Linked DNA regions of Arabidopsis thaliana. The protein of the gene in region 1 interacts with the protein of each later gene in a pairwise test. Each region holds a gene or a part of one and is shown in the gene's direction. Other genes may lie near its edges.

What was found.
Region 2: the proteins of PIN1AT (region 1) and AGL24 interact in binary tests that used the Arabidopsis thaliana proteins (3 or more experiments, as listed by UniProt).
Region 3: the proteins of PIN1AT (region 1) and AGL20 interact in binary tests that used the Arabidopsis thaliana proteins (3 or more experiments, as listed by UniProt).

Annotation. Positions count from the first base shown.
Region 1 is NC_003071.7:7,838,550-7,847,634, forward strand, and holds PIN1AT (peptidylprolyl cis/trans isomerase, NIMA-interacting 1), read left to right. Parts: upstream 1-3,390; 5' UTR 3,391-3,796; coding exon 3,797-4,031; intron 4,032-4,863; coding exon 4,864-4,988; 3' UTR 4,989-5,393; downstream 5,394-9,085. Other genes in the region: AT2G18025 (uncharacterized protein), read left to right, coding at 267-336, 413-447; MSRA5 (Peptide methionine sulfoxide reductase family protein), read left to right, coding at 1,658-1,966, 2,303-2,415, 2,501-2,645, 2,750-2,947; HIS1-3 (histone H1-3), read left to right, coding at 7,546-7,632, 7,705-8,121. UniProt on the Arabidopsis thaliana protein: Prolyl cis/trans isomerase with specificity for phospho-Ser-Pro bonds.
Region 2 is NC_003075.7:12,668,531-12,679,258, reverse strand, and holds AGL24 (AGAMOUS-like 24), read left to right. Parts: upstream 1-5,152; 5' UTR 5,153-5,342; intron 5,343-5,574; 5' UTR 5,575-5,613; coding exon 5,614-5,795; intron 5,796-6,509; coding exon 6,510-6,591; intron 6,592-6,858; coding exon 6,859-6,920; intron 6,921-7,386; coding exon 7,387-7,486; intron 7,487-7,597; coding exon 7,598-7,639; intron 7,640-7,723; coding exon 7,724-7,765; intron 7,766-7,864; coding exon 7,865-7,998; intron 7,999-8,080; coding exon 8,081-8,099; 3' UTR 8,100-8,362; downstream 8,363-10,728. Other genes in the region: AT4G24550 (Clathrin adaptor complexes medium subunit family protein), read right to left, coding at 356-454, 532-605, 689-749, 837-924, 1,081-1,175, 1,271-1,375, 1,456-1,556, 1,869-1,995 and 5 more; AT4G24530 (O-fucosyltransferase family protein), read left to right, coding at 9,546-9,686, 9,777-9,839, 9,922-10,003, 10,105-10,175, 10,244-10,332, 10,409-10,612. UniProt on the Arabidopsis thaliana protein: Transcription activator that mediates floral transition in response to vernalization. Promotes inflorescence fate in apical meristems. Acts in a dosage-dependent manner. Probably involved in the transduction of RLK-mediated signaling (e.g. IMK3 pathway).
Region 3 is NC_003071.7:18,803,859-18,814,532, reverse strand, and holds AGL20 (AGAMOUS-like 20), read left to right. Parts: upstream 1-3,407; 5' UTR 3,408-3,876; intron 3,877-4,316; 5' UTR 4,317-4,339; coding exon 4,340-4,521; intron 4,522-5,523; coding exon 5,524-5,605; intron 5,606-5,796; coding exon 5,797-5,858; intron 5,859-5,965; coding exon 5,966-6,065; intron 6,066-6,168; coding exon 6,169-6,210; coding exon of another isoform or gene 6,211-6,219; exon of another isoform or gene 6,220-6,332; coding exon 6,333-6,374; intron 6,375-6,599; coding exon 6,600-6,734; 3' UTR 6,735-7,028; downstream 7,029-10,674. Other genes in the region: AGL6 (AGAMOUS-like 6), read right to left, coding at 8,242-8,338, 8,426-8,580, 8,674-8,715, 8,793-8,834, 8,908-9,007, 9,128-9,189, 9,320-9,398, 9,899-10,080. UniProt on the Arabidopsis thaliana protein: Transcription activator active in flowering time control. May integrate signals from the photoperiod, vernalization and autonomous floral induction pathways. Can modulate class B and C homeotic genes expression.

The DNA of each region.
Region 1 (9,085 bases):
TGACACAGAGGACTCAAAGACATTTATGTGCGTAATACAAGTCTGATTCTATAGTTGATTAGCTGAGTTTTGGTAATGTGTAATATTTGTGTTTATGTGATTGAGATTTACCTAAATTGTCTTTGTCCATCAATTTTTAGCGTTTGAGACTTTGAGGAATTGGTTTTAGTATCTGATCCAATAGCTAGATTTGTGTTGCTCTTGCTCTATAATTGTCTTCCAGGTTGAATATGGTCCAAGGATAATTGGTTATCGTCGGCTCTTAGATGTATTCTGCTCTAGTCATGATTCTAGACAAGTGTTTGGACAAGGTCCTGATGTGGGTAACCAATACAGGTAAAAGAGCTGTTTGGTTATCTTTGAGTTTGTTTGTTTGGCCCAAATCTATAACATTTGAATATATGTTGAACAGATCCTGTATTTTCACTAACTGTACAGAAGAGTTGAGACTGGCTTCTACCAGCAAAGAAAGGGAGCAACTTAATACAAGAAGCAGTATCGTGACTTCTCTCTTGTCGTTGACTCCTCTCTTCACGAGTCTCATCTCCGACGCTTCTTCTCTTTTCTTCTGTTGCTTTGGTTCTCATCTTCATCACACTTATTGCAAGTTTGATCAAAGGCTCAAAATCCAACAAAATTCACCATTTTAGACACCTTGGGAAGCACGTTAGCCGGAAAACCTTGAAAAACCCACAAGGGTTTTCAATGCGCCTCCTTTGGATAATTGGATCATACATACACCATTATTGGATAATACTCTCTTGAGTCATGAAGATTAACAGAAAACAACATATCATCAATAACACAAGACGGCTCTTGCCTCAGATCACTCAACTTATCTATTTCTCTCCTTGACTTCAAATTAGTTTCCCTGGGTTGGTAAGCATAAGAACAGAACCGTGCTTATCCCTCATGTCAAATTTTCTCTTCCATCACCACATATGTCACAAACTCTCAGTCGCAGAGGTGCGTAGGTTCGGACAGAAGGTCTTATTGCTGCTAGGAGGAGAGGTCAAGCTGCTGCTTCAGCCGCCACTAGGGTTGTTAAACAATAAATAAATTAAAAAAAAACATTTGCTTCTCTTTTATATGTATATATATCCGTTTGGACCTTGTTCTCAAATTGTAAACATTTTTATGATAATCTTTGTCTTCTCTCTCGAAAAGTTTAAAGTATTATTGCAAATTGTAAAAAGTTATCATCGCAAGTTTTGATTATTGTTCTCGACCGAATAATTTTAATATTTAAACGAACCGTATCAAACCGAGTATTTGGTTATATGTTTAAAACGTCTTTAAGTATCAACTAAGTAGAAATATGGTCACCAATTGCTAACTGGTAAAAGCGGTTGAGACTCAGCATGATGAGAGAGTCTCACCACGGTTCGAGTCGCGATATTGGTACCTCGCTCCTACCAAAAGGAATCATGCCTTAATTGTTAGCCGAAATAAAGTAATCTAAATCACTTCTTTTTCAATAATCATGCAGCGAACCCTCTAAATGAATCAGAGGGTCTCAACTCTCAAAGACAGAGTTTAATGGAGGTGGAGCCATGGCGTGACTTTTTGAGCGACTCGACTCAATCGACTACAGGTTGTTCGTTCATATGGAGTTTCGTTCCCTGGTTCGAAACAGCAGCTAGACGAAAACTGTGTAATGGCTATATCACTGAAGAGGAACCGTTTCTTCATTCCTTATACGAATCTCGTCTTCTTCTTCTTCTTGTGTGTCTCTCTGCTCGATAAAACTGTATCCATCAGGATTTCGAATCAGATCTCGGATACTGTCGTTGATTCTCCCGATCGTCCTTTGAAATCTGCGGTTTTCGCTCTTGGAAGCTTCTGGAGATCGGAGGCGGCGTTTGGTTGTATCAATGGCGTCGTACGAACCTCCGCCGGTTACGCCGGTGGAACGAAGACGAATCCGGAGTATAGGAACTTAGGTGATCACGCCGAGTCCGTACAGGTTGGTTTTATTGTTTCAATTTTGAGGATTGAGCCAATGTTTACTTCGTTTATTCGATGTTTAGCTGATATGATTTGATTTGATCAGTGCCTATGTTGTTCGATTTGATTTGCTCTACTTAACAGATTTCGTTTGGATAATAAAATTGGAGAATGCTTTATGTGAATATCATCATTCATTAGCTGATTAGGTTGTTTTGTTGAAATTTGGTTATGTGTGATCTTAGTGTATATGTGATTGTCTGATTGAAGTTAAACTAAATTGTCTTTGTTCATCTGACTTAGTGTTTGAGGAGCTTAAAGATTTGTGTTGCTCTTGCTCTGTAATTGTCTTCAGGTTGAATATGATCCAAGGATAATTGGTTATCGTCAGCTCTTAGATGTATTTTGGTCTAGTCATGATTCTAGACAAGTGTTTGGACAAGGTCCTGATGTGGGTAATCAATACAGGTAAAAGAGCAAGTAAATAGCTGATGCTTATCTTTGAGTTTGTTTGTTTGGACCAAATCTAAAACATGGGAATCTTTTTGAACAGATCCTGTATTTTCACTAATTCTACAGAAGAATTGAGACTGGCTTCTACCAGCAAAGAAAGGGAGCAACTTAATACAAGAAGCAGTATCGTGACCACTCAAATTCAACAGCTAGGAACGTTTTATCGCGCAGAGCCTGATCACCAGGTTCAGCTTTAAGTCTCTCTGCATCTTCCATTCATATCACGGCTGTTTATTAGAGGATAAACGATTAAGAAAATCAATCTTCTCTTGAATTTCTGTATTTGCAGAAGTTCGAGCTGAAACAACATCCATTTCTTATTCAGCTAATTGGAAACATGGTAGAAGAAGAGCTTGAGAGATCAGCTCTAGCCACAAAACTAAACGGTTACGCAGCCGAGCTCTGCCCGCCTAGAATCCAGAAACATATCGACTCTAGAGTTAATGAGATCATTAGAAAAGGTTGGCCCGTCTTGAGAGACATCTAATATATAAGCCTTGTGAGATCTTCGCGTTCTTGGATTTGATTGCTTAGTCTCAGATGTAAGTTTTGGTTCATTCTTTTGGCCAGGAATTTGGTCACAACAATGTTTATGTCTTACTCTTGCCCCTTGAGTGGTGATTGTTCAGCGTTTTGTCTTGTTTCTTTTAAGATCTCTCAAATAGTATATGCTTTTTGTTTTCTTGTAAGAAGATTCAGTTAGACTTTCATTGTATCATTATGGTATTGATTACCAATTCATTGATATTATATATATATATATATATATATATATATATATATATATATATATATGATATACTTTGATTGCCAATCTCTCACATAGAATATGCTTTTTATGAATCCTTTACATCTTAGTATCATCAGTTGGTATTTTCGCAAATACAAAGAAAGTTCTGGGGTGATTTGTCAATAATAACGATTTGGGATTTTTATAGTAAATATTGTAAGTTTGGGTGTGATTTTTAAAAAATCAAAAGTTCCAGGGTTATTTCATAAATACCGAAAGATCCGAGGCGGTTTCATCATATACTGGGCGATCCGTGGTGGTTTCGAATATACCGAAAGATCCGGGAGCATTTTGAATCTGCTGAAAGATCTGGGGCGATTTCGTAGATACCAAAATATCTGTGGTGATTTCGTCTCACAGTTTCAATCGTCGATAATCATTAGGGTAAAGCAAAAATAGTGAAGCAGAGCCGCAAAAACACTTTTCCCAAAATCAACGAAGATAGATTCAGATCGGAAGCGAAAGAACGATTCGGTCTCCTCCACAGATCGAACATCGAAGGAGAAGAAAGACCATCATCACAACAAGCATCGAAAGAAGAGCAAGATGGCGTCGAGAGACCAAGTTAAGGCATCGCACATTTTGATTAAGCATCAAGGTTCTCGGAGGAAAGCGTCGTGGAAGGATCCAGAAGGGAAGATTATTCTGACTACCACTAGAGAAGCCGCCGTTGAGCAGCTTAAATCGATCCGTGAAGATATTGTCTCCGGCAAGGCGAATTTCGAAGAAGTGGCGACTCGTGTTTCTGACTGTAGCTCTGCTAAACGCGGCGGTGATCTTGGTTTGTTCTTATCCCTAATCTCTAGATCAGCGAGTTTAGGTTTAGGATGATTGAACTTAGGGTTAGATCTAGTGGCAATTAAGATTTTAGGAAATGAAGTTAATCTGTATAGTCTCAAGTGATGTTTGTTGAAGGAGTAGAAAGCTTGTTAACTGGATTCTATTGGATCTAACTCTTTACAGTGAAATTGAGCATAATGATCATAGCTTAGATCATTAGTGATGTTTAGAATCTCACAGTTCTTCCTCGATGTGTTTATAGTCATCACTAATGTTTAGAATCTATAGTTTCTAGCTTGATAAATCTTTAGTTGGTGCTCAGAAATTTTACTAATCTCTAGCTTCTATCATCATTAATGTTTAGCTTCTTCATATTCCTTAATAAATCTATTCTTGGCTCTCGTTAATCTCACTAATGTCTGTTTAGATAATCACCGATGTTGAGAGTCTAAAGTTTATCTTCCTTGATGAATCTATATCGGTGCTCACAAGTCTTACTATTGTCCACTTAGATCAACATCGATGATTAGAAACTAAAGTTTATTCCTTGATGTATCTTTAGTTGGTGCTCGTAAATCTTACTACTGTTTGCTTAGAGCATAACTATGTTTATAATCTAAAGTGTATTCCTTGATGAATCCATAATCGGTGCTCATAAATCTTACTAATGTCCACTTAGATCACTACCCATGTTTTCCTCGTGATGATTTATAATTGGTGCTCATCAAGTTTACTAACATCTTCGTAGATCATCTCCCACATAGAGTTTCTTTCTTGATGAATCTATAATTTGTGCTCATAAATCTTATGTTGATTTGTCCATCCCTGTTCAGGTTCCTTTGGTAGAGGTCAAATGCAGAAACCATTTGAGGAAGCAACTTACGCGCTCAAGGTTGGAGATATAAGCGACATTGTCGATACAGACAGTGGAGTCCACATCATTAAGAGAACAGCTTGACCTTATCTGATCTGATAGAAAATGTATTGAAGGTGCCTGCTTCGTTTCCCTTCTCTTCTTGACCAGAAGAACATAGAAGAAGAAGAATAAGAAGAATTTAATTCAAGGTTATTGTTATTGTGGTTTTGATTCTGAATCTGTCTACGAATTTGATACAACTCAAACATATGATAAAATCAGACAAGCTATCTCATTTCTTCTTAAAGGCTTCATAAGCACTCCCTGTCGTAGACAGTGACTTGTATAATCACATTTCAGTATCTTTGTCATGGTCTTACTGCAACATTCTGGCATCTTGTGTGTTGTCATTTTGCTCTTAAACTCTTGATAGTCTTTGGCTCTCGTCTCCACTCTTAATATTTGAGAAATCGTTTACTGTTAGGCGTAATTCAATGTTTAAACCAGTTTAGTAGGTTCTGAGCGGGATGTCTAGGTTTTTGACTTTTCTTAACAACATTTAAGGTTAGAGCCATTTAGCAATTAATCTAAACAGGTTTTTATTTTAAACAAGTCATGCAGAACTCCATTGTATGGGATTTAAGGATTCAAATAATTTTCTCTAGAAAATTCGAATAAATCGGTTTATTGGTTTAAATTTTGAGATATATACTGGTAACTGATTAATTATGTGAAGCCGGTTACACTTTTATTGCTCTTTGTAGTCAATATTTCCAAGTTAATGTTACTTGTTTTCTTGGAGTTTCAACTCTATTTATACTTATAAAACAACTATTGAAATTTCTAATTAAAGCATCCAAAGATGTTAAAGTAAGATAATTAATGTCATAGTTTCACATTTCATTCCATATAAATAATCAAAAGTCTTATTGTTGTTCATCAATCAAAAGCAAATATAACCTTCAGCATATATTTGGCTATACTAAGGTTCTTTTTACTCAATTTCTCATTATGTCTATAAAAAATATGCTTTCACTCCTAGCGGTTCTATGCATCATCGTTTCTGTAAATGCTTAGATGCCTCAGTTTCCGGCTCCATTTCCTTTTTCATTTCTATTCGAACCGATTCCTGGTATGTCAGGATTACCTGACATAACAAAATGTTGGTCATCCGTGATGGATATTCCTGGATGCATTGTAGAGGTTTCTCAATCTATTTTCACTGGAAAATTCGGCAATTTAGGTCCATCTTGTTGTAAAGCATTGTTGGACGCTGAAGTCAATTCCATGCCGAAAATTCCATTCATTCTGTTTTTCCCTCCGATGCTAAAGGAACAATGCTCAAGAATTGTGGGTGCAACTCCTCCTATACCAAAATAGAGTTTTAGCTTAGTTTTAAAAATCTATGATTTTTTTCTTTTCAACTTATTTATTGAAATTGTAGCTTACTCTACATGTTATACTCCAAAAAGAAAAAAACGATGATACAATAATAACATAGTTGTATTTGGGTTCAATACTTACTCATTTTTCAATTATAATGAATAACACCTTGAAACATTAACTCCGTAATTAATTTAGTCTTGCAATTTTTCATAAATTGTTTATATATGTCGTAACACAAAATTTGCGAACGGTTAATAACTTTACTAGATAAAACCTCTCTAAATAGGTAGATGTGAAAAATAAATAAATTTTTGTTTTAATAAATTTTTCAAATGATAATCTATATATATTTTATTTAATATATATTTTCTAAAACCAAATTTCAATCTTACCTTTTCTAAAACCATATTGTTAAAAACTAAAGAAAAAGTTGGACCAAGCAAAGCCTCTCGGTAAATGTGGTAAATAAATAGAACGATATAACTGAGAAGAAGAAAATAAAACAAAATTAAGAAAATAAAAAGATAAACATATTTAAGTTACAATATTTAAAAATATTAAAACACTTCTTTTTAAGAACAAAATGGGGAATTTTATTTATGTTTTGAATAGATCAACAATTATTAATAGAATGAGTTTAGTTTAATATATTAAATATAAAAAATTGAATATATAAACAATTGTTTTATGTATATATTTTTTTTTTGATAGGGTTAAGGATTTTTTTCTATTTTTGTTTTTAAATGTAATAAAATTTGAAACACATGTAAATATCGTATTAGTAAATACCGACCAAAAAAAATATTGTATTAGTAAATTTGACACATATCGCAATTTTTGTGAGCTAACAATTTTAAAAATCAAATAAGATGACGAACAAAGCTCTGGTTTAAACTTTCTCCCATCAATTTTTTCATTAAACCAAATTTAACCAATTATTTGGCCTAATAACTGCGTCTACGTTATTAAGAATAAGAACTTATTTTGTGTTTCAGTAGAAAACACACTCGTTCACAAAATGCCTAGTAAGAGTAAAGGACGATCACCGCCACCAAGTGTGTTTCTCGGATAAACACATGGAATCCAGCCATTACTTAAACGACACGTGTACGCTCATGATTTATTAATGCACACGTAATCGATCCTCTGACAAAAACCATAACGAATACAGAAAACACACGAATACACTTCCCTGCGCTATAAATAAGCTAGCACGAAAAAATTTAACAGATAGAGACAAGACAAGCAAAGCAACACTTTCACTAATCCTCTAATGGCAGAAGACAAGATCTTAAAGAAGACTCCGGCGGCGAAGAAGCCGCGAAAACCGAAAACCACCACTCATCCTCCATACTTTCAGGTGAGGTTCTAACTTTTTCTTTTGAGTTCCTATCTATTAAACTTAGTTTTTTCGTTTTGGTTTTTGATGAAGATGATAAAAGAGGCTTTGATGGTCCTGAAAGAGAAGAACGGATCAAGCCCTTATGCTATAGCTAAGAAGATAGAGGAGAAACACAAGTCTTTACTTCCAGAGAGTTTCCGTAAAACACTTTCTCTACAGCTTAAAAACTCTGTTGCTAAAGGTAAGCTCGTGAAGATCAGAGCCTCTTACAAGCTCTCAGATACCACCAAGATGATAACGAGGCAGCAGGACAAGAAGAATAAGAAGAATATGAAGCAAGAAGATAAAGAGATCACAAAGAGGACTAGGTCTTCTTCGACAAGGCCTAAGAAGACTGTGTCTGTGAACAAACAAGAAAAGAAGAGGAAAGTGAAGAAGGCGAGACAGCCTAAGTCTATCAAATCTTCAGTTGGTAAGAAGAAGGCCATGAAAGCTTCCGCTGCTTGATCACTGAGGAGGAGGAGAAGAAGATGGAACTGTGTGTGAATATGAAGAATAAGGTTTTTTGTTGTCTCTGTAAATGGATGATGACTTTGTTTTGGTTTGGTGTGGTCTCTTTTGGGTGTAAGAGTAAAGAGTCTTCGGATGTATAACCAGTACTACCATGTAATATACTCTAAATAGATAGATTTTTACTTGGGTTGATATCTATTATTTGTTCAAAGAATCGAAGAAACGAAGGCGAAACAAATTCGAGTAATTATTTCTAGTTGGGGGTTGGTTAACTAAATGCTAATTATGTATTTTATCTAAGTCGTTGAATTGAAAAGAAAAAACGCCTAATACTTATGTATGACTAAGATGGGGCCTAAAGACTTTTGAAACGGCCCAAGTTAGTGATTACACGGAGCCCATACAGATGTTTTAACAAAACATATTGGTTCATATGTAATCGTTAGTACAAACACTACAACTCTTCGCGTGTAAACCAACATCTCTATATGGTTTAGTAATGAATACAAAAATAGATACTTTTCAGTTTTATTCATTTGAGCTAAGAGAGTAAAAAATTCTATGTATTTGGTTTGCTTGGAGCTATAAAGTTTATCATGATGTCTTTGAGTTCAAAATATTTGTGACATTCAACTAGATTATCAATGTTTCGTAAGCCAGTACCTAAAAGTAGCGAATACAATTAGACACAGTTGTAAACGATCCGTTACTTAGGTAGTCGAAATATGCACAGTTAGATAACGGTTTCAGTCTTTGTAACTTACCTTGAGGATCAAACAGCGCTCCTCCTTAGAGCATCATTAGCTCCTCCTTTCGGTCAATCAACATCTTCTCAAGACCAATGCCTTTGAAATATAGTGCCTACCAATGCATTGAAGACATTCTTTAAAGCGTAAATATAATGTAGTCTAGCTCAAAGAGTAAAATAGAGAGTTTGGAGCAACTAAAGTTTGCGGAA
Region 2 (10,728 bases), on another chromosome or scaffold:
TTTTGACTTTTATTATAATCAATCAATAAAGCTAATCTAATATTGTCTCATCGTTGCACCTTTATTTCTTTTGCAATTTGCTTAACTTTGAATCTTTGGATTCAGTTCAGTTCAGAAATTCAAGAAAAATCCCAAAAGATGCAATTTTGCCAGTTCCAAGAAAAGAGATCATATGATGTTTTCAGGGGCAAACAAAATAAAAGCATATAGCCATATATGTTGATACCGAAACAAGAAAGTATCCAAATAGAAGAGACAACATTCAACACAGTACTGTGAAGCAAGTGTGATCCGAAAATGAAAAGAGAAAGTACTTAGACATACAAGTGAAGGATAAACATTATCTGAAAACAGGTCATATCCTAGCCACATAAGAATTCGCCTGTGTCACATATCTCACCCAACGATATGGATTATAACTACTTGATTTCTTTGCTATCTGCAAGTATTTGACCTGCATCACCCAATTCATTAGCGTTAATGATCGAAGAGGACGGTTAATGGCAATGCAAGAATCGGCATATTACTTACCTGAAGTTTAGAAACATTGTACATAGGTATCGTGAACGTCATGCTGACTGGCCCTGCTTCCTTTGTGATATTACCTACAACGAATTGAGAATTATCAGTAATGCTTTATTTTCCCCTGAGAGAACAAACATTACAAACTTTTGTCTTAGAGGGTAACCATGAAATTCCTGTGAAAATGTAAGCTTTGCACGCAGTGTATGCTCACCCCCGCCAACAATCTGGAATGCCACAGTTAGCTCATGGAAGCAACATACAGTTCAATATATACCTAAACTAGCAAACCACGTGAGAGATTTAACACTTGCCTTTTTTAAATTCCATTCAAGCATTTTGTTGGATTCCTTGAAATCTGTCCTCTGTCCAGCAGCACCGGGTTCTAACTCAAAACTAGCCCTGTCACAATAAACATAATCGTTGATTCTATTTCTTGTGTGATTCAGAATTCGGTATATCACTATAGCTGGAATTTAAATAAATTCATCGTATTCTCTTCCTCATGTACAATATCTCAGTGATGCACTTGTACAAACCAATCAAAAAGTTATGTACCTGGAAGTATAATTTGGCAATGGCATCTGAACAGTGATTGTGTTTGCAATTATGTCTGAAGGGAACTCAGCGCGTATTTTAATAATCACTTCAGCCTAAATTTCAGCAAACAGAAAAATATTTATAGAGCAATTAAGAAATATACGCAGTTTTTATCTGACTCAGAAGACATGTACGCATGAAATTTCACCTTAAGACGTCCAGCCTCTTCAATCAAGGTATTAACATGAAAAGGAGGCTTGAACTCCTGAGTCATACGGTAATTCATTACTGGAAATTCACCATCTGGTGGAACCTGAAAACAGAACGCAAGTTAAAGACTAATACAACATGCTATTACAAGATGTTTTCTGTACTAAATATTTTGACGCTCACCAGGGACAAAGTTCTATCTGAATCGAAGCTATCCAGACGAACAGACTCATGAAAGTTACAATCATCAAGTATCACCCCTGAACCTGAAGAACTCCTATAATCTGCAACATTTCAAGTGTGATGTTACCAAGGGTTAGATTGTATTAATAGATCAATCCCCAGTTGATACTGATGTGCCTCAAAGATGCAGAAAAAATGCTACAAGAGTAACTACATATATTTACGAATTGGGTTATGACTTATGAGGGAAGTTTGTAAGTGGAACATACAGCTTAGTTGACATTTAAGCATTGTCAACGCCAAATGTCACAGAAAGAGACACCAAGATTTCAAAGAGTGAGACAAGATAGAATATGACGTTGATTCCTTCCAAATATAATAAAGATGATTTAAAGGGGTGAAACAAGAAATACCATATACTGATCTCCCTCCTCTTCCTATGTTTAGGTCTTCATTAAGAGCTAAACGGATTTCTGGATTACCAGAAAGATAGCTCTTCATTTGAATGGTGCCATCAATCTCAGAAGTCAGTATATATCCCTGTTCAGAAATCAGAAAAATAATGGATATTTTCCATGAAGAAAACTAACATTAAGATGCAACTACATGTATTAGGACATAATACAAAGCATTGATCCGCAGAAATGGGTGGTTTGATATGGCAAGAAGAGAACATGCCAAGACTTCTGTACTTTTGATATAATAAACTAGAAGCAAGTAACTACTCACGCTTGAACTAAAAGTAACACTGATTTTCTCGATGATGTCCACAAAAATTTCCTCTCTTCTCCGACCCCCAGGATCATTAGCCACAACCGATTTTGTAACTGCAGTTCCAGGCATTCTTTTGGCTCCTTGCTGCATAGCATAAATTAAAGGGGTCAGTCACATATACCAGGAGGAGGAAAATGAAAAGCAATCTTACTGTGAAAATGGCAGCAGGATCAATAGGCTGAAGGCGGGCAGGAGAAACCACAATCGGCTCATTGAATATATAAGATTTCAAAACTTCGGTAGATGTAGTTTGCACGTAACCAAAATCCTAATCAAAAGAGCACAGAGTCTTATTTAATAAAAAAAAATCAAAACTGGGAAAATAAACAAATATAGCTACTATATAGATATAAACATGCTAACAATGAGAACTACATCAAGACGAGACTTACAATAACTTCATCAAGCAACTCATACACGAGCACAAAGTTTTTCCTGAATGAATCTTCATTCAGAACACCAAGATAATCCTTAATAACACGAGCAATCCTTTGTAGAAGCTCCAAAACAAGAGAGGGTGACACGTTAACTCTCGTTGTCGCAACAAAATATAGACCAACAACCTTGACATGGAAGTAGTTCACGCCATCGACATTCTATAAGCACAAAAAATAAGTTAGATGAAATCATTACAGCTCACAACCAAACAGAAAGTATAATACCTACAAAGATAGGTGGCGCCTCTGCATTGCCATCCTCCTTCCAGAACTTGACTTTACGGAAGAATGTCTCTGTACTTCCTTTGGGTACCTCAGCCCGGTCTGTAGCAATAAAACGTTACACATCTTGAAACTTGTATTGGATCCAACCAAATCGTATAATCTCAAAACAAATAGCTTTCTTCTACTACATTACATACAGATACTCTGCCCAAACTAATTGAATAGTTTTGCTATATTTGTACAATCTGATTTGGAAATTCAGCTCAACATAATTTGTCATCGGATAAGAAATGTTGGTAGATCAAACAGATCAATGAGCTTAGAGAAGATTTCAATGGAAAATTCTCATGAAACAGTGACATAAGACTCGACTCTGAAGAGAAAAAGCAAAACAGGAAGAAGCAGAGAGGATCAGATCGAGAAAGAGAGCTTACAGTCACGGAAGACGATGTTATCTCCTCGCTGAGATAAGACGAAGAATTGGGAGATCATCATCGTTCCTTATAGCGGTGGATTCCGACTGTTTCACCGCGAGTTTGGTTAAGTCTACTGATCGCCGATCGGTCTCGTCTTTTTGTGTGTCTGGTGGTGAGGTGGTTCACGTTTTACCATTTGCCGTCGTTATCGTGAAGCTTCTTCATGAGACGGAGGGTTCTGTGTTTTTGTGAATTATGATTTCTTGTTCTTATATGGGCCTATTTTTAAGACATCAATATGGCCCAAATTTCGAACTTGTTATGAGTTTAAGGAAATAAGTAGTAAGTACTATAAATGATGGTTCGATCTCGGAGGAGAAAAAAAAAAACATTGTTTACGAGGAAGCAAAATGTGAGTTGATATAAAGGGTACAACACATAATTTATTTTTGGAAGTCAAAACTTTGAGGATTAAGCTGACAACGAAGGTTAGTGAAGACTTTCGGGATCGAGCAATCGGGAGATATACATGAGCCTAGAGGGCTGACAAGATGACCAAGCATTCCAAATGAAAGGCTTAAGATTTTTCTTTTTCTAAACTCAAGTAAGAAACACAAGATATATGAAAGGGTAACAAGGGTCAACAACAAGTCTAAGCTTTTTAAACGTGTTAGATGATTCTTCTTGAACACTATTACAATTACTGTTTAGTTTCACATTTATATGACCTTGGGAGTCTTCTAGCTCGTCCCAAATATATTTTCAACATATTACTATAAGATCCTAAAGACCAATAACATTGATCTACACCAAAAACTCTCACTTTCTGATTTTGCACTCGCTTTTTTTCCTCCCATAAACAAAACCAAAGGCTTACAATACTAAATCTGTCTCACATTCTTAGTGCTTATTTGTTTTAGTCATAAAGAACTTAATCTTATACAGATTGAAGTCTTAAAGTCATCTATATTACTTTTCACATGTATCATTATGAGATGGTACGTTTCCCACGAATTTTATCAGTTTAGTTTAATTTTCAGTTGTACTTTGGGAGAAAAAATTTACAAGATACTTGTCGGCCATGATATCACCCTAGAGTTACCGGAGTCCGGTGATATATCATTTCTAATTAGGGTTAAAACTTAAAAGGGTATAAATGGCTGATCAAACCCAAAAATAAAAGATAATGATGACGGTGGGAGACGAGTGATCTTATCAGGTGTCGCATCTAGCATATATAGGTGAAAGACTATAAAAAAGACATGAAATATTTAATAGACACAACTTTTGTAATAAACCAAAACCAAAAAGGTAGATGAACTGATGAACAGCATCTTCTAATTACGAATAAAAAAAGTAACCAAACTTTCTTTCCATTAGAATTGGTACGTAGTTCCTTGTGTATTGTGATTTCTTTCATTTTCCAATTATGTTTTTTTATTTTATCATGTTACATTTTTGATAGTGGGTAACTTTTGTATCATTTTATTTGACCTAGCCATATATAAATCTATTAACTTATACGGAGTAGTATTTCACGTCATTTATTTTTATTTTGTTTTTAGATGGGAAGTTATTCAAAACTAGACTAAAACAGTAAAACTAGGAAACCCGCTACTGAATAAAGTTACAATTCCACATTATTCCATGACAGACTAATTGAATTAGAAGGTTAGGTAAATTATTAAATCATAACTGTAGCAGTCTCTTCGTCTGGCAGCTCAGTCAGACAAAACACAAAGTGTGTTTATGTGTTATTTTTAATGATTATAGTTTGGGAAAAAGACATAATCAAAAGGGATACAAAACATATGGCCCATTGATAAGTATAGATCACTGTTTAGCTAAAAAAAGCAGACTCTTTTTTCCAATCTTGAACACAAACACAGTCACCATCTCTCTCTCTCTTTCTCTCTCACTCACACATTAGGGAGTAAACAGCTACCAGAAAAACCTTTTTTATCTTCTCACAAATTTAATAAAGTGGGTGCTGAGATTGAATAACGTAATCCAAGATCCTCCAACTCACAGAAAGGTAAAAGCTGTGAATCTGTGTTCTTTCTTCTTAAGCAAAGTGTTTGATGAATTCATCTAGTCCTGTCCATTCTTTTGCTTCTCATGGTTTATGGATCTGATCTCTCTTTCTCTCTCTCTCTAGCCATTAGGGTTTCCTAAGAATATTATATAAACTCTCTTTAGCTAACACCGTTCCAATTGGTTTCTTTCTTTGTTCTTGGTCTAAAATCTAAATGGTGTTATGGGTATAGGCAGATTCAAGAACAGTAGTGAAGGAGAGATCTGGTAAAATGGCGAGAGAGAAGATAAGGATAAAGAAGATTGATAACATAACAGCGAGACAAGTTACTTTCTCAAAGAGAAGAAGAGGAATCTTCAAGAAAGCCGATGAACTTTCAGTTCTTTGCGATGCTGATGTTGCTCTCATCATCTTCTCTGCCACCGGAAAGCTCTTCGAGTTCTCCAGCTCAAGGTATATTCTATCTTTTTGTTAGTAGTTGTCTTATTTTTTTCAATCCATGTTTGTGTTTTTGAGAATATGGTTGGATAAATATATTAAGATATGTATTTAAATGAGATTTTTATTTTCTCGTTTACTCTCTAAAGTTAATTATCAGTAGGCTCGGAGATCTCATGTACGGCATAATTTGATGACCTAAATTATTATACTTTAAAGTATAGGATTGATGTTTTATTACTTTTATGTATAACACATCATGTATTTAATTCCGTTTAACATAATATGGGTTTTTAACGTGTAATTTTTCAATCATTTTCATTTAGACTCATGGTTAAGATTTCTGTACTGGGAAATAAGAGAGCAGAATATTATAGTGTGATTTTTGTTAATTAGGAAAGCATATGTATATATGGATACATAGTACTTACCACAATTAGAATGAATTTCTTTTCCCTTTTTTCATTTGACTTTGTGTATTACAAAAGTCTTTGACACTGTCACTTGGTATGATTGGGGATTAATTCTTAACCACTCGTTTAGTTTATCTTGGGAAGCATTACCATAATTGGGAAACGAGTCATCTGTCTGTATCGTGATGGCTACTTCTGATTACTTTTCTTTTATTATAACCAAAAAGGCTTCTAATGTACTTAATTAATTTTACAAATGTAATATGGACGAAGGAAATGTTTATAAGAAAGATGGATTGTTTGTTGAAACGTGTAGAATGAGAGACATATTGGGAAGGTATAGTCTTCATGCAAGTAACATCAACAAATTGATGGATCCACCTTCTACTCATCTCCGGGTATTTTCGATATCACTTACTCTTTTTTTTTTTTGTGGATTTTAAACTCTCTGCTCTTTTTACCAAACCCTTCTCTTTTTATCAAACCCTTCTCTCTATAATATTATCCGATGTTCACTTTGTTACACGTGTTTGTTATAATTTTTAGCTGTAAGTCTAAATATAGAAACATTGAGTGGCATATAATCATTAATCTTGAAGCATCTAATTAATTGGTTTTACATATTAATAGCAGAATCCTGAAACTGTTGACTTTGCATCTAGCAGCTTGAGAATTGTAACCTCTCCAGACTAAGTAAGGAAGTCGAAGACAAAACCAAGCAGCTACGGTATGGCTCCATTGATATGTTATGCAGATAAACCTATTTTCATATAGGCTATAGCTGTAAGAGATCATCTATTTCATGTGTGTGGTTTTTTTTTTTATGTTTTTTCAATGATGTGTGCATGCTATTTTTAGGTTTTAGAATCTATTTCATGGAAATTGAAGATATTTCATTTCACGTGTAAGTTCGTCAAGTTGTGGCGTGTGTCTTGGAAATTGATGTTTTGTTTGTAGATTTTAAGAGCTACTTCTAAAATTTACAAGAGTTTTGTAATTTTCAATTATGGCCCATTATTCTCATTAATTCATTAAAAAAATTATATACATTACTATCTATATCTAGCATAGGTAGTTTTTTTTTTCTTTTTCTTTGGTAGACCTACTGAACAAATATCTGATATATCACTGACTGGATAAATATCTATAGAGATATTTTTGATAGAAATGAGTGTTAATTTAACGTAAAACAGGAAACTGAGAGGAGAGGATCTTGATGGATTGAACTTAGAAGAGTTGCAGCGGCTGGAGAAACTACTTGAATCCGGACTTAGCCGTGTGTCTGAAAAGAAGGTTTACTACTATACATAAACTAATAGCATGCATATTTTCCTTAACGTGGCATATAAATAATAAGCTGTACATATATAAAAGTTTGACTTTGTTGTTGTTATTGGTAAATAGGGCGAGTGTGTGATGAGCCAAATTTTCTCACTTGAGAAACGGGTTAGTAGTTAGTACATACAATTCGTATAACTAATGGATCATAAGCCTATCTATAGCTAGTGACTTTCTTAATAAGTGAAACAGGGATCGGAATTGGTGGATGAGAATAAGAGACTGAGGGATAAAGTACGGCTCTAAACCCTTATAGATATCATGGAATAACCTTAATCTATTTTTTTATGTATAAGAAAATATGATGAGGGAACGTATATTATATATCGGCAGCTAGAGACGTTGGAAAGGGCAAAACTGACGACGCTTAAAGAGGCTTTGGAGACAGAGTCGGTGACCACAAATGTGTCAAGCTACGACAGTGGAACTCCCCTTGAGGATGACTCCGACACTTCCCTGAAGCTTGGGTATAATTTGTTTAACTGAACATATTTCAAACTTTTTGTTGACATTTTGTATGTGGATGTTTACTAACTGTTTGTTGGTTAGGCTTCCATCTTGGGAATGAATCTGAGAGAGAGAAAGATCCAGCAGAGTTGACTTCGATGGAAGCCCACAAATATTAAGTCTACCTTTTCCCTTTCTTTTCTTTGAATAAGTGTTGAAAAAGAATTGAGATGGGAAGGATGAATTCTCATTGCATTGCAGAGAAGCAAGTTTCAGATATTGTACGTGTTATTGGTCTTTATAACTATTTTGCACCAAAGGGATTCTTCACATCACGGACAAATAATAATTTTAACACTAATGAAACAAGTAAATATAGTGAAACGATAGGTTTTCTATAGTGATTCTTTACATTAACAACAATGAAACAATAAATATAATATTGGAGAGGGGTGTGAAAGAACAAATATGTTAATTAATTTCTACAAATGTTTTCACCTCCTTTCTCGATTCATATAAAACAAAGGTAAGTCTTTGTTCCTTACCTTCACTCTCTAGAAAAGATTTTTTTGGCCAAAAATATGTATTCACGCAATCAGCAGAACAAAAACCTCGGAAGATCACGTCCAACGAAGGACCTTTAGGCTTAGGGGTAACGTCATGTCTTCCACTTTTGAGCAACCTTGCAAACCATCAACGAAGTCTTTCATGTGCATTTTATTCAACAATGGAGTTTTGTAAGAAGGAACTATTGAAAAAACTAATGGAACTAAGGTGATCTAGATAGTGAACTTAGCTTTTCCCAAACTTTTCTTTATGCACTACAAAATTTCAATAAATTAAGTTTTTAGAAAAGGTTCTCAAGTGAAGTTAGAATTTTATAACTCAAACAATATTCATGTACGTGTCCACCGGTTTTCATGGTTAGATTTTGAGAAAGAGTGAGTCCAAACTTTTTAATAACGTTTTTGATTCCGTGTAAGAATGTGTGATTCTCCCTCCTCCTGAAACCCTAACCCAAGACAGGAGATCTTTCTAACACATTCTATACTAATTCACAAAAATCTTCCAAGTTCCGTCCGATGTGGGACAAACAATTCTAATATCCCCTCTCTAGTTACCGCTACGAGCCTACGACCATCATTCTTTGAGTCGAAGTTATACATATGAAATGGGAGGCGTGATTCACGGGTGAATCCTACATTTGAGAAATTAGAACCTATGATCTGTGACCATATTACAAGATTTGAATCTGAAAATAAATTTTATTCTTCCCAATATTTGTTTTTGCGAAAAAAAGAGATTATTTGGAATTGCTGACGTCACATCTCTCTCAGGAGATTCCCACCCGGAAGTATCAACTGTCGTCGTGTATCGGTTGTTTCCGTAGATCTCTGTTACCACTTTCCATCCAATTTCAACAAATTGGATTTGGCAAACTTTCGGATCAGAAACGTGCTCGGGATGAGGAGGTACACCGAGAAAGTTTGGTCTTTTATTCGTTCGTCGCTGAGTTTAGAATAAGGGATTGTCTTCATCGTACGACTCTGTTTTTGTTGAAAATCGAATGCTCCAAATGAAGCAGCCATTACAGAACCTTAATCAGTCGCAGAAGACAGCTTTAGCTGGTGTTTTCGTGCTCCTTTTCCCGATTCTCTATCCGAATCTCTTCAGCCCTCTTGGTCGCGCCTCTCCTTCTCTCTTCTCCGTCAGTCTCTCTCTCTCTATCTCCGATGATTTATTTGGAATTTCACATTTTGGGATTGTGAAGCTGAAGAATTAAGTTTGGCATTTGCAGGAATGGAATGCTCCAAGGCCTAGACATTTGAGCCTACTCCAAGGCGCTCTTGATCGACAAATTGTAAGTGGGTTTAGCTCAGTTTCTTGGATGTATCTACTACGTTCCTCTAAATCTTTTTCTTCTTCCTCGAACCAATGTGTAGTCGATCAGACAACAAGTTGAGTTATGGTCTCCCTTGGCAGATCAAGGTTGGAAGCCTTGCACTGAATCTTATAGAGGCGCTTGTAAGTTTCCAAATATAAAGCTTTCTTCCTTCTTTCATCGTTTACATTCATGTGCCCTGAAAAGTTTGTATTTTGATTGATGGGTTTGTCACTCTTTGCAGCCTTGCCAGAGAAGTCTGAAGGGTTTCTTCAGGTTTTCCTTGACGGCGGACTAAATCAACAAAGAATGGGAGTGAGTATAAGAATTTCAGTCAATTTTTATGGTGGTTTCCCTTCTGACTCTTCTTGTTCCTTTTGCAGATATGTGATGCTGTTGCTGTTGCCAAGATAATGAACGTTACACTCGTGATTCCACGCCTTGAAGTAAATACTGTTTGGCAAGATTCAAGGTAATCTACTTTGAAACTTGTAAGTTGTCTGGTGCCTGATGAATTTGGTGATTTATGATTTGGCATTTCTTTACAGTTCTTTCACAGATATATTTGATTTGGATCACTTTATAAGTGTCCTTAAAGACGAGGTGCGGATTGTTAGGGAGCTTCCAATACAGTATGCCTGGAGCACTCGTGATTATTACGCTACAGGTATTCGAGCTACTAGGATTAAGACTGCGCCTGTTCACGCTTCAGCAGAGTGGTATTTGGAAAATGTCTTACCTATTATCCAGAGGTTTGTGCTTTCTAAACCTGGTGATCTATCAGATGAATAACTGCATTTTAAAGTCCTGGAAAATACGATACTACATATGATCTGGAATGCTTTATAGACAATACTAAGGGAGTGTT
Region 3 (10,674 bases), about 11 Mb from region 1:
AAAGGGAACCACGAGAATCAGAAGATGAAATAAAGACCGTTGGATGAAAGAGCATAGGGCGGTGCACAGCACGCTCTGTGGTCCCCTTAACAGAGGAAGTGAATCTCCTAATCCTCCTTATTACAACAGGACCCATGTGCCCGACATGTGTCGGTACCTCAACTGGGAAGTGCCAACTCTCTCCCCAATGGCCAATTCTAATATCTCCTTCACAGTCTCCAATTAACTTCATTTTCCTAATCCTCTTTATCCGACATTTTATTTTTTAATCACAATTCCTTAATCATACTTACACAAATGTAGTACTCCATTAAACAAAGGTTATATTCTACTTATTGGCTAACCAAATATTATATGGTTTTTCTTAGTCGTTGATTTGTACTTTGTATATTTGTTATTTAGAGAGATTCATATAAGTGGATTCCAATGAATGCGCAAATGTTATTGAGGGGCTATTGATTTATAACTCCCCCAAATCACGCGTCTACAGAAAGTTAACCAACTAATAATGATTTATGGTGGATGAAGAGCTTCATCTATAGTTACTCGATGAATTTTAGTACTATATGATTTTGTTATAACTAAAAAATCATTATTAACTATCATGCCTAAGATTCTCAAACATCAGTCGGAATTATTTTAAAGAATTTTACATTAAATTCACCCTTTTCAACAATCTAGTTCAGAAATAAATGTATCGTCCATTAGTACTCTCTATGGTTAAAAAATGGACTATACGGGGTTTTTTTTCCTATCTTTTACACATTTATTTGTAATTAATAGTATAACTTAGTAATTCACACATAAATTGCTTTAGTGGCTAGATTGTCTAAGTGATCCTTTTCAGCTACCTTATGACCTTACCCACATAGAAACACAATTATTCAAGCGAGAAAAACGCTTTTGGGATACAGTACTGGATTTATTGGTAATCGGAGAATATAAATGGGAATAGACCAAACATAATTACTGATGCATGAAAGTGCATAAACAAAAATTTGCATGGCAGTCACGGGCATCATCTTTCACAGACTAAAATGCCAGAAGCTTCAAACTCCCACCAAACCTAAGAAAGCCAAACCAACATCACAAAATTGGTAGAAACAGTAGAAAACAAAAGGAGTAGGTTTCTGGATAACAAAGGAATCTGTCCTTTTCTAAGTTTCTTTAGGTGCATTCACAAATTACAAACATGTTTTATATATTTTTTAAAAATCAGTAACAAACAAGTAGATATCAATTAGCATGTAGATTCAAAATATAGTGAATTAGTGATTATATACGCTAGCATTAAGTAGATGGTGATAAGATAATGATACAAAGATATGAATTAAAAGAAGAAAAAAAAAACACCTAAAGAAGTGAATATAATAGGCATATACATATGAGGAAAATGAAAACAAAAGGAGCGAAAAATAGATTTAACCTAAAAGAGGAAGTAAAGAGGTTATAAGAGGTAAGAAAAGTAGGACCATATAATAGCTATATTGTAGAATTTTATTATTTGGAGATATGGCAATTTTTGTGAGGGTCCCATGAAGACTAAAGTGTGGAGCACGATTTATCTTTGTAATTAATAAAATAATAAATATATTATTATTGTCTCGGGATTTTTCGATTGATGAGAAAAAGTAAGAGGTGCGTTTTCGAATTATCATTGGCTAACGTTTGTACGTGACTGTACGGACGACGTTGATGTATTTCTAATATTGTACTCTTTTTTCCCACCCTTATTTCTCTAATTCTTGTACATTAACCCCAAACTAATTTTACAAACACATTGGTGTTTAATCATTGTGAAATTTTGATTTATCTAAAATACACTTTATATGTTATGATTTTGCATGAGCTTATGACTGGTAAACTCATGAGATTTCCATATCACCATGTTGGAAGTTACTAACCATACATCTTTTAAATGCAAATTCACATCATTCCTAGACTGCTAGACAGACATGTACTTACTTATACAAGGTTTTTCTAATCTAATGGCAACAAAGAAACTTGTGACTAAACGCATACGTATCTCTCATATAGTGTAGACTAGAACTCTACGTATCTCTCATATAGTCATATTTTTAAAAAAATTATACTTTGGGATCTCGAAGCGAAAATTAGATTAGTTTATATGATTATGTACAAAAAAAATCGGATATTACTACCACTTAAAAATAATTGTAGTGGTCAATCATATCTAAAATTAATCGCAGTGAACAAAAACCTGAAGCATAGCCTGGTTCTATCTTACTTTCGATGTGACACATTACTAACACGATTGTTTTAATCTATAGGACGAATCCTTTAAGTAATGTATAGTTGGTTCAGTTACGTTAGATACTTTTTGTTTTGGATTTGTCTCAACCAGTTAAGAAGTGATCGTATTTACTAGTGGTATACGATGATGTTTCTTTAAATCTGAATTGGGTCTACAAAATACATAACTAAACTTCAAACCGGGTTTATACTTTATACAAACACGAAAATATAAAGATAGAGACAATTCACCAGAGAAGATGTGTATTTATATAAAAATTATCCATACAGATTTTCGGACCTATCTGTTTGATATTTAATATATATAAATACGTTAACATATTTCACCAGAGAAGATGTGTATTTTTCGAAATAATTAGTTTGTGTGGTCCTCCTCCCGATATAGATAAAAGATCATTAGATATCGATTAACAATTTTATCTCCAAAAAAGGATATTTTTTTGGTGCCACTAGCTAGACAAGACGTTCGATAAGCTGAATTATTATTGGATTTCTAAGTTACGTTTTCTTTAGTAATCCGAGGGACCAAAAATAGCAAATGCCTCTTTAGACACGTCGCTACTTAACGCCATTGCCCCATTGTCTCTGTACTAGCCTCCAAATATTTGGATTAATGGTCACTTAGGTAATGAGGAAATTGTAGTATTTTGTAATGTGGTTTTGTCCAACTTATAAAAACTTACAATTGCAAGTAATTAATTATTCACATGGAGATGTAAGATTATGTCATATAACTAAAAACACAATTTAAGAACAACAATAAGAAACAATGGACAAACAAGCATAGAAAATATACAAATCAAATGAATTTTATCTGTTGGGATGGAAAGATATTATAAAAATTGATTAAAACCAATATAGTTGTATTACTCACAGGTAAGAAAAAACGATATTCTTATTTTTCATATCAATTACAAGTGGGGGCATATAGGTACGAGAGAGTGTTTGTGTCCACATTAAAAACAAAAAAAGATTTTTGTTAGAAGAAATTTAATAAAAATAATTTGACAGGCATTTCCATCCAACTAGATATTTATGGGAGGGAAAAAGATGTGTATGTAAAAATGTCCATATGTATCAAAATATGCTATTTTTGGTCTTTCTTAAGGCTTTTTTCCAAAATAAGTAAAGGATGAGGTTTCAAGCGTCCATCATATTTGCGACACATATGACTGACTATTTAGCTCCTCCCTCTTTCTTTCTCTTATTTTATTATCTTTCTCCAAGAAATAAAATAGAAAAGAAAATATATATGGTTTCACAAACACCATTACCATAACTACAACGAGAAGAGGATCTTTTTTAAGGAGAAAAGCAGAGAGAGAAGAGACGAGTGTGTGAAGTTTTTTTGTCTTTTGTTTCTTTTATTACACACAAATAGATGAAACGAGGAAAGCTACTTCTTTTGCTACTTCCATAAAAAGGTTCTTCCTTTCGCAGAGAATCAACTTTGATCATCTTCTTCCTTCTCTTTCTTTCTTCTTCTCCCTCCAGTAATGCTTATATAGTCTCCTCCTATATCTCTACCTATACATACACAAACCCTTTATCCTCGAAAGCTTCCTCCTGGTTAGGTTTTTATCAAACCCTTTTAGCCAATCGGTAAGATCTCTTCGTCATGATCTTTTCTTTTTTCTTTTGCTTTGTACTCTGATGGATCTATAAACTTATATGGGTTTGGTTTCATTTGGTTCGATTTGATGTGTTTGGTTTCTTTGTCCTAAATCTCATGAAAGGAGGTTGCATCCTTCAATTAAACCGATAACAAAAGTTTCCATTACAGACTTATAGATCAGATACTTTAGATTGTTTTGCTTTTTGGGTACTTAATCTTTCGTTGACTTCATCAGTCTTCTCCCACCCAAACAAAAAAGTCATATTTCGATCATATCTTCATTTTTTTAACCTACTCTCTTTGATTCATATATGAAATGGGTTGTTTTATGTGTGTGACTAATCTTGTTATTGAGGTGGTTGCACCATTGATCTACCGTTTTCTTCAATTTTTGAAAAAATAATTTTATTTTTTTTCTGTGTGCAAGGGAAATTAACTAAAGAAGAAGATATGGTGAGGGGCAAAACTCAGATGAAGAGAATAGAGAATGCAACAAGCAGACAAGTGACTTTCTCCAAAAGAAGGAATGGTTTGTTGAAGAAAGCCTTTGAGCTCTCAGTGCTTTGTGATGCTGAAGTTTCTCTTATCATCTTCTCTCCTAAAGGCAAACTTTATGAATTCGCCAGCTCCAAGTACGTTCTTTTTGTCTTTCTTACAAATCATCCATAGAAAGAGAGAGAGAGAGAGATCTCATTAACCTCTCTATTTGTATCTTAATTTTTTTTGGTTTATATATGGATTTGATTGGCCTTTTGTGGAATCACATCTCTTTGACGTTTGCTTTGAGAGGTGTGTTTAAATGAGTTTCTTGGTTTCTGCAAAATTAGGGCTATTATTAAAGTAGTATCAAGTACATATACCCTCTTATTTATTGTTTTTTTATTTCCGCTAGTATATCATCTTGTTTAATCATCTGTCTCTCTCTTTCTCAATTAGTTTCTCAAGTTATGATATAAATAAAATGTGCTCTTTCGTAGCCAATTTACACTTGTTATATATTTGATCTTCTTAGAGATCATGATCACATAGTATTAATAAAACAACTTTCAATTAGTATTCTTTTGGTTTGAACTAATCTTTGTCTTGTTATTGCTTTAAGCAAAACATGTTGTTCTAATTTCTAAGTGATGATTAGGAAGTTGTTTCATCATTCCTGATTTATTAATCCCTCATGCTTCATTTCATGCTCATTCCTAATTTAGTTCAATTTGTTTGAATATTTGTTCCTGATTTTGACATAGAAACTCAAAGCTAGCTAGCCAAACCTAAATGTTGATTGTTTTTGAGAATCAAAAGAGTTTTATCTTGTACTGTTAGGTAGTAGGGAAACCAAACTTACTTTTGATGAATCATTACTTCTGTAAATGAAAATGCCAGCTTTTGATCAGATGTTTCAGACATTTGGTCCATTTGGGAAAGTACTTCTTTCTCTCGAACCTACTAAATATAAAGATAAGACCTCACATGTTTTTGATTTTCTAAAATAGGGGGAAAAAGTACAAGACTTTTCAAGCTATGTCCTTGATTAAGTCTAGTGATATCTTCAATAAGAAATGTTTTGAGAACACCATTGGGATCTAAATTTGATCTCTGATGATTTACTTTAATGTTCCAATTATATATGTTTTTGACAGTATGCAAGATACCATAGATCGTTATCTGAGGCATACTAAGGATCGAGTCAGCACCAAACCGGTTTCTGAAGAAAATATGCAGGTTTATTCTTTATGATCTTCTTGCCTATATATCAATTCTTGCTAATTAATACTTTTACTATATAATATCAAAGAGCGGTAATGAATATAACCACAATATGTATATAATCTCAAGGTCACAGGATCAAGTCACATATTTATAATTAGGATATATATGTACATGCAATAACATTTCTGTGATATAACCAACAGCATTTGAAATATGAAGCAGCAAACATGATGAAGAAAATTGAACAACTCGAAGCTTCTAAACGGTTTGTGATATATACATATATACAAACACATTATTCATCACTTGTATATATCTATTTCATGATGCATAGGAGAGTTTGATCAATTAGTGTTTTGTTTTTGTAATCAGTAAACTCTTGGGAGAAGGCATAGGAACATGCTCAATCGAGGAGCTGCAACAGATTGAGCAACAGCTTGAGAAAAGTGTCAAATGTATTCGAGCAAGAAAGGTATGTGTATATATTTATCTGTTATATCTCCACATTATAAGTATTGTTCGAATCATCTTCTGAAACCACTCATAATTATAACTCAATTTCTCATCTCTTTTAGACTCAAGTGTTTAAGGAACAAATTGAGCAGCTCAAGCAAAAGGTAAAGTAGTTTTTATGAGTGTATATAAACAGATATAAGTATGTATGCAAATTGTGTAATATTCCAAGTAAGTAAGCCTCTTGTGCTTGCTTTTTACAAATTGGAATCTAAAACTTTTGCAGGAGAAAGCTCTAGCTGCAGAAAACGAGAAGCTCTCTGAAAAGGTATAATATATTCTTATGGGTCTCAAGTTAGGGTTGCACATTCGTTTTTTTATTCGGTAAAGATAAGAAAGTTGGGGTTCTTTTTGGGGGTTATTAGGTTAGGAGAGTCCTTACTAGTTTTTCTTGGTTATCTTCAATCATCAACCTTCTTTAATTTATGTATTGTTCTATATATCTTCTAATTTGCATCTATTAATTTTGTGTAATAATTCTATTTGAATGCAGTGGGGATCTCATGAAAGCGAAGTTTGGTCAAATAAGAATCAAGAAAGTACTGGAAGAGGTGATGAAGAGAGTAGCCCAAGTTCTGAAGTAGAGACGCAATTGTTCATTGGGTTACCTTGTTCTTCAAGAAAGTGATCTCCACTCAACAAAAAAAACAAAAAAACAAACTAAGTAAAAACAGGTTTAGCAGTACTGAGAGTGTATAAGGACAAGTAACAAAACTCTAAAGCTGCTTCTCTCTTGTTGTCTTATTTCTCTCTCACTCTCTCTCTCTCAGTCACTTCTTTAATGATTCTGAACTGCTTGTGTTATGTATCTATGTTCTTACACTTGCCTCTCTAGAATGTAATTTTGATTATGTTTTGTTTTCATGTATCAATTTAGCTTTCTTCCCTCAAAATCATAAAATCAGGAATATCTGTACTATATAACTTACTGGTTTCTCAAGTCGAGAGACTAGAGGTCTAGAACTTCCCAAACTGGTAAAAAAATATAAAGAAAATTATGAGAGCACATTAAACATTATCCATTGGCCAAAAATCAATAACTGCATCATTTCAGATGAAGAGCTGATACACGACAACGGTGGCAACTCTACAATACAAAGATCGGTCTAGTAGCATGTGTGACTGTCTTGGAAGAAGTTGCGTCCCCCCCAAGCAAGTTCAAAAGATCACCGGGAGAGGAGATTTAGGGCATAAATCCAAATGTTGTAGAGGCTTTTAGCCCATCAAAGAAAAAAAAAACATTATACGCATAATCCAATATTTCAAATCGTTTAGAATCTTTAGATAATAGAGATACATGATTGTGATATGACATGTGCCGTTAACATTTATATGGGCCCATGAATTTATTTTGTAATGGCCCACTTATAAAAGGGCCTACTTTGCGATAACAGCCCATAAATATAAGAGAGTATTAAAAACTTAAATTCTAGTATGTAAAAAAAAAAAAAAAACCTCAATAAATATGAAGACTTTATGGAAAAGACATATATCAACAACAGTAAAGTTTGCTAAAGAAAGAGGAGCTCTTCTCTTCCAAAAGTCAAATCAAGAAACAGCAATGTGGGTCCTACCTGGCTTCATATCATTGCGCTTTTTCCAAGGTCAACTACGTGGCATTTTATTATTCGTTCATTTTTTTAGTTACAGGTTGATTTCATTTACTCACCCAATTGTTTCGGAAGTTCATTACTCCTACTTGCGTAGTTGAGCTGAATCCTCCTTTGATTATTCGTCACCCAATTGATTCGACGTCGCACGATTTATTATTTGTTCCTACTATTCACAATTCAGCATTCATAAATATATGTCTGAGATTTAATAGTATTCATGCCAAATAAATCTATTCATTTAATTGATTTTAGAACAATTATTAAAGTTTATTTCATTTGGAAAATGTTGGTAAAACCAAAACAAAAATAATGTTTTAGATCAAGTAGGAGTAAGAGGAGAAATTCTTCAAAGCACATACATGCGAATATAGATTCACACGAGCTGGAAATTAAATGACAAACATCTAGTGCAAAAGTTTTTCTTATAGGAAAAAAAAACCCAGAAATCTAATTTGAAAAAAGAACAACTGTAGAGAGCTGAAATTGGCCTGACCGTGGCATCGTGGTCTAATCAACAGAGAGTCAAAGAACCCAACCTTGGACGAAATTAGTCTCACCTGCCACGTTACTCTTTGATACCGAAGACCCTTCACCTTGCACGTAGTAATGTTGTTGAAACCTAATCCAAATACCAAACAAGTCTTATAATCATATCTTATTTCTATCCATTTATTTGTAAGGGCCGGGAAAAATGGTATATTCTTACCCTATTTGTAAAAAGGGTTCGGTGTTGCAATCCAATACATTAGGATGAGAAGGCTCTACCGGAAATTCAGAATTGTTTGGATCCCCGGCCACCGATGCCGCCGAGTTTGCCCATAAGTCTTGAAAGGTTTTGAAAGCATGGCCTTCCGTTTCAAACTATTGAAAATTTATGTTTAGTTAAGATCCAAATGTCATAATTAATTATATGAGAAGTTATAATATAATTTTGCGATGTCTAGAAATAAAAACCTTAATCTTGAGTTGTTTGTTTATGTCTCCTAGTTGCCTCTCCTGCCATTTCAAACATAGATTGATTGATATGCATATATGTTTTGCAGTTTGGTATGAAACATTTTTATATAACTTGCCTTTTTCCTAAGGTCTTCCATTTCTTCCATCATAACTTGTGTCTGCATATTTTAGTTGAATGTTTTAGTTATGAATATATTTTTAATGAAACAAGACCAGTCTAGATCATGTGACCTTGCGCTGTCGAGTCGCGGTAAGAGCGGCTTCGAGCTGCCTCTCGAGCGCTTGCAGTTCCTTCACACCCATTTCTCCAAGATCTTCTCCAAGCAAATTCCTTTTATAATTAGCAATTATCAACACCCATAACAATAGATTTGTAACTATACATATATAATGGAAGATGACAATAACGATTTAATTTCAAGGGGTTATAGAAAACTCTTAATTACTAGACCTGTTAGTACGAACAAGAGATTCGTATTTGGATTTAAGCTTTGTCACCTCCTGACACCAACTCTGCACCATATAGATTATATGAAATGCATATATATAGTAACATGAGAATTTGAGAAAATAGAGTTAGCTAGAATCATTATCATCAGAAACAATAATTGTAAATATATTCAAAGTACGTACACACACTTGCCTGTGTAGTCTCTTCAGGCTTATTATTGCTTAGAGAGCAGTTGTAACAACGATTATACCGTTCGATTGTGCTTTCAATTCTACAAATTCAATTAAAACAAAAATGGGAGATCATTAGCTCGATTCAACAAATAAAGATTCTTCTTACGACAAGAACTCAAGTTATATATCTTACACACTGATCTAAAAGGGAAAACCCTAGTTTGTTTGTTTTTTTTTTTTTTAAAGCTAGAATTAAACCCATTTGAAACCTGTCATCTGTAAGATTAAAGAATCAAAGGAATTCATGAATGGGAAATCAACAAATTATAACGTACGGAAGGACCTATTAGCTTATGATAAAGGATCCAAGAGGGAGACACGATATAACGATGAACCCTAATTACCACAGGATAAACGATACAACCATTAAGAATAACCACAAGATCAAAACATGATCCGACTCTTGAATCGTACGATGTAACAAGTAGCAAATGAACCCATTTATTAATCAATTTTCATATAAAAAACATAGCTTTATTGGATGAATCTTAATATATATAGCACAAAAGTTGGTTCAAAGGAGCAAAGATATATATACCCAACACTACCAAACTCGTAGAGCTTGCCACGGCTTGAGAAGATGATGAGAGCAACTTCGGCATCGCAAAGAACAGAAAGCTCATAAGCTTTCTTCAGCAAACCGTTTCTTCTTTTTGAGAAGGTCACTTGTCTATTAATCTTGTTCTCTATCCTCTTCATCTCCACTCTCCCTCTTCCCATCTTTCTCTCTCCTTCTCTTGATTCTGATTTCTTCTTCTTCTCAAGAATTGGTAACTTTTTTTCAAGAATAGATAAAAGGAATAAAGTATCGTACACGATAAATGTGTTGCTATATATATAAACTTGTATTACTTTCAATTCTTCTTGTTACAGGTTAATATGGTGCGTTATTACATAAATCCTTTTTAATTAATTATTAGTCGTCCTAAGTATGTGAAAGTGGCACCAACAAATGAGATATTTGTTGTTGAAGAAATTAAATATAAATATCGTCATATATTTGATGGAACAAAATGATAACTCTGTCTTCATCGTTATAGCTAGATTCCTAAAAATGGAAATCTACTTGTAACAGTCGGACCATTGAAAATTCCTTTTATTTTCTCTTTTTAATTATTAGGACTCTTTTCTTTTCTTTTTTGCTTTTTTTACATAGAGCGCGATGTTTCAAATTCAAACTAACTCATTTTGTTTCCAAATGTTATGGCTCATGTTCTTCTATAACTAGTTATTGTACCCTTTTCAAGCTATCCTAGCGTGTTCTTTTATTTGATGCTGCGCCAGCGGCAATAGCGGACTGAAACGACGTGTCAT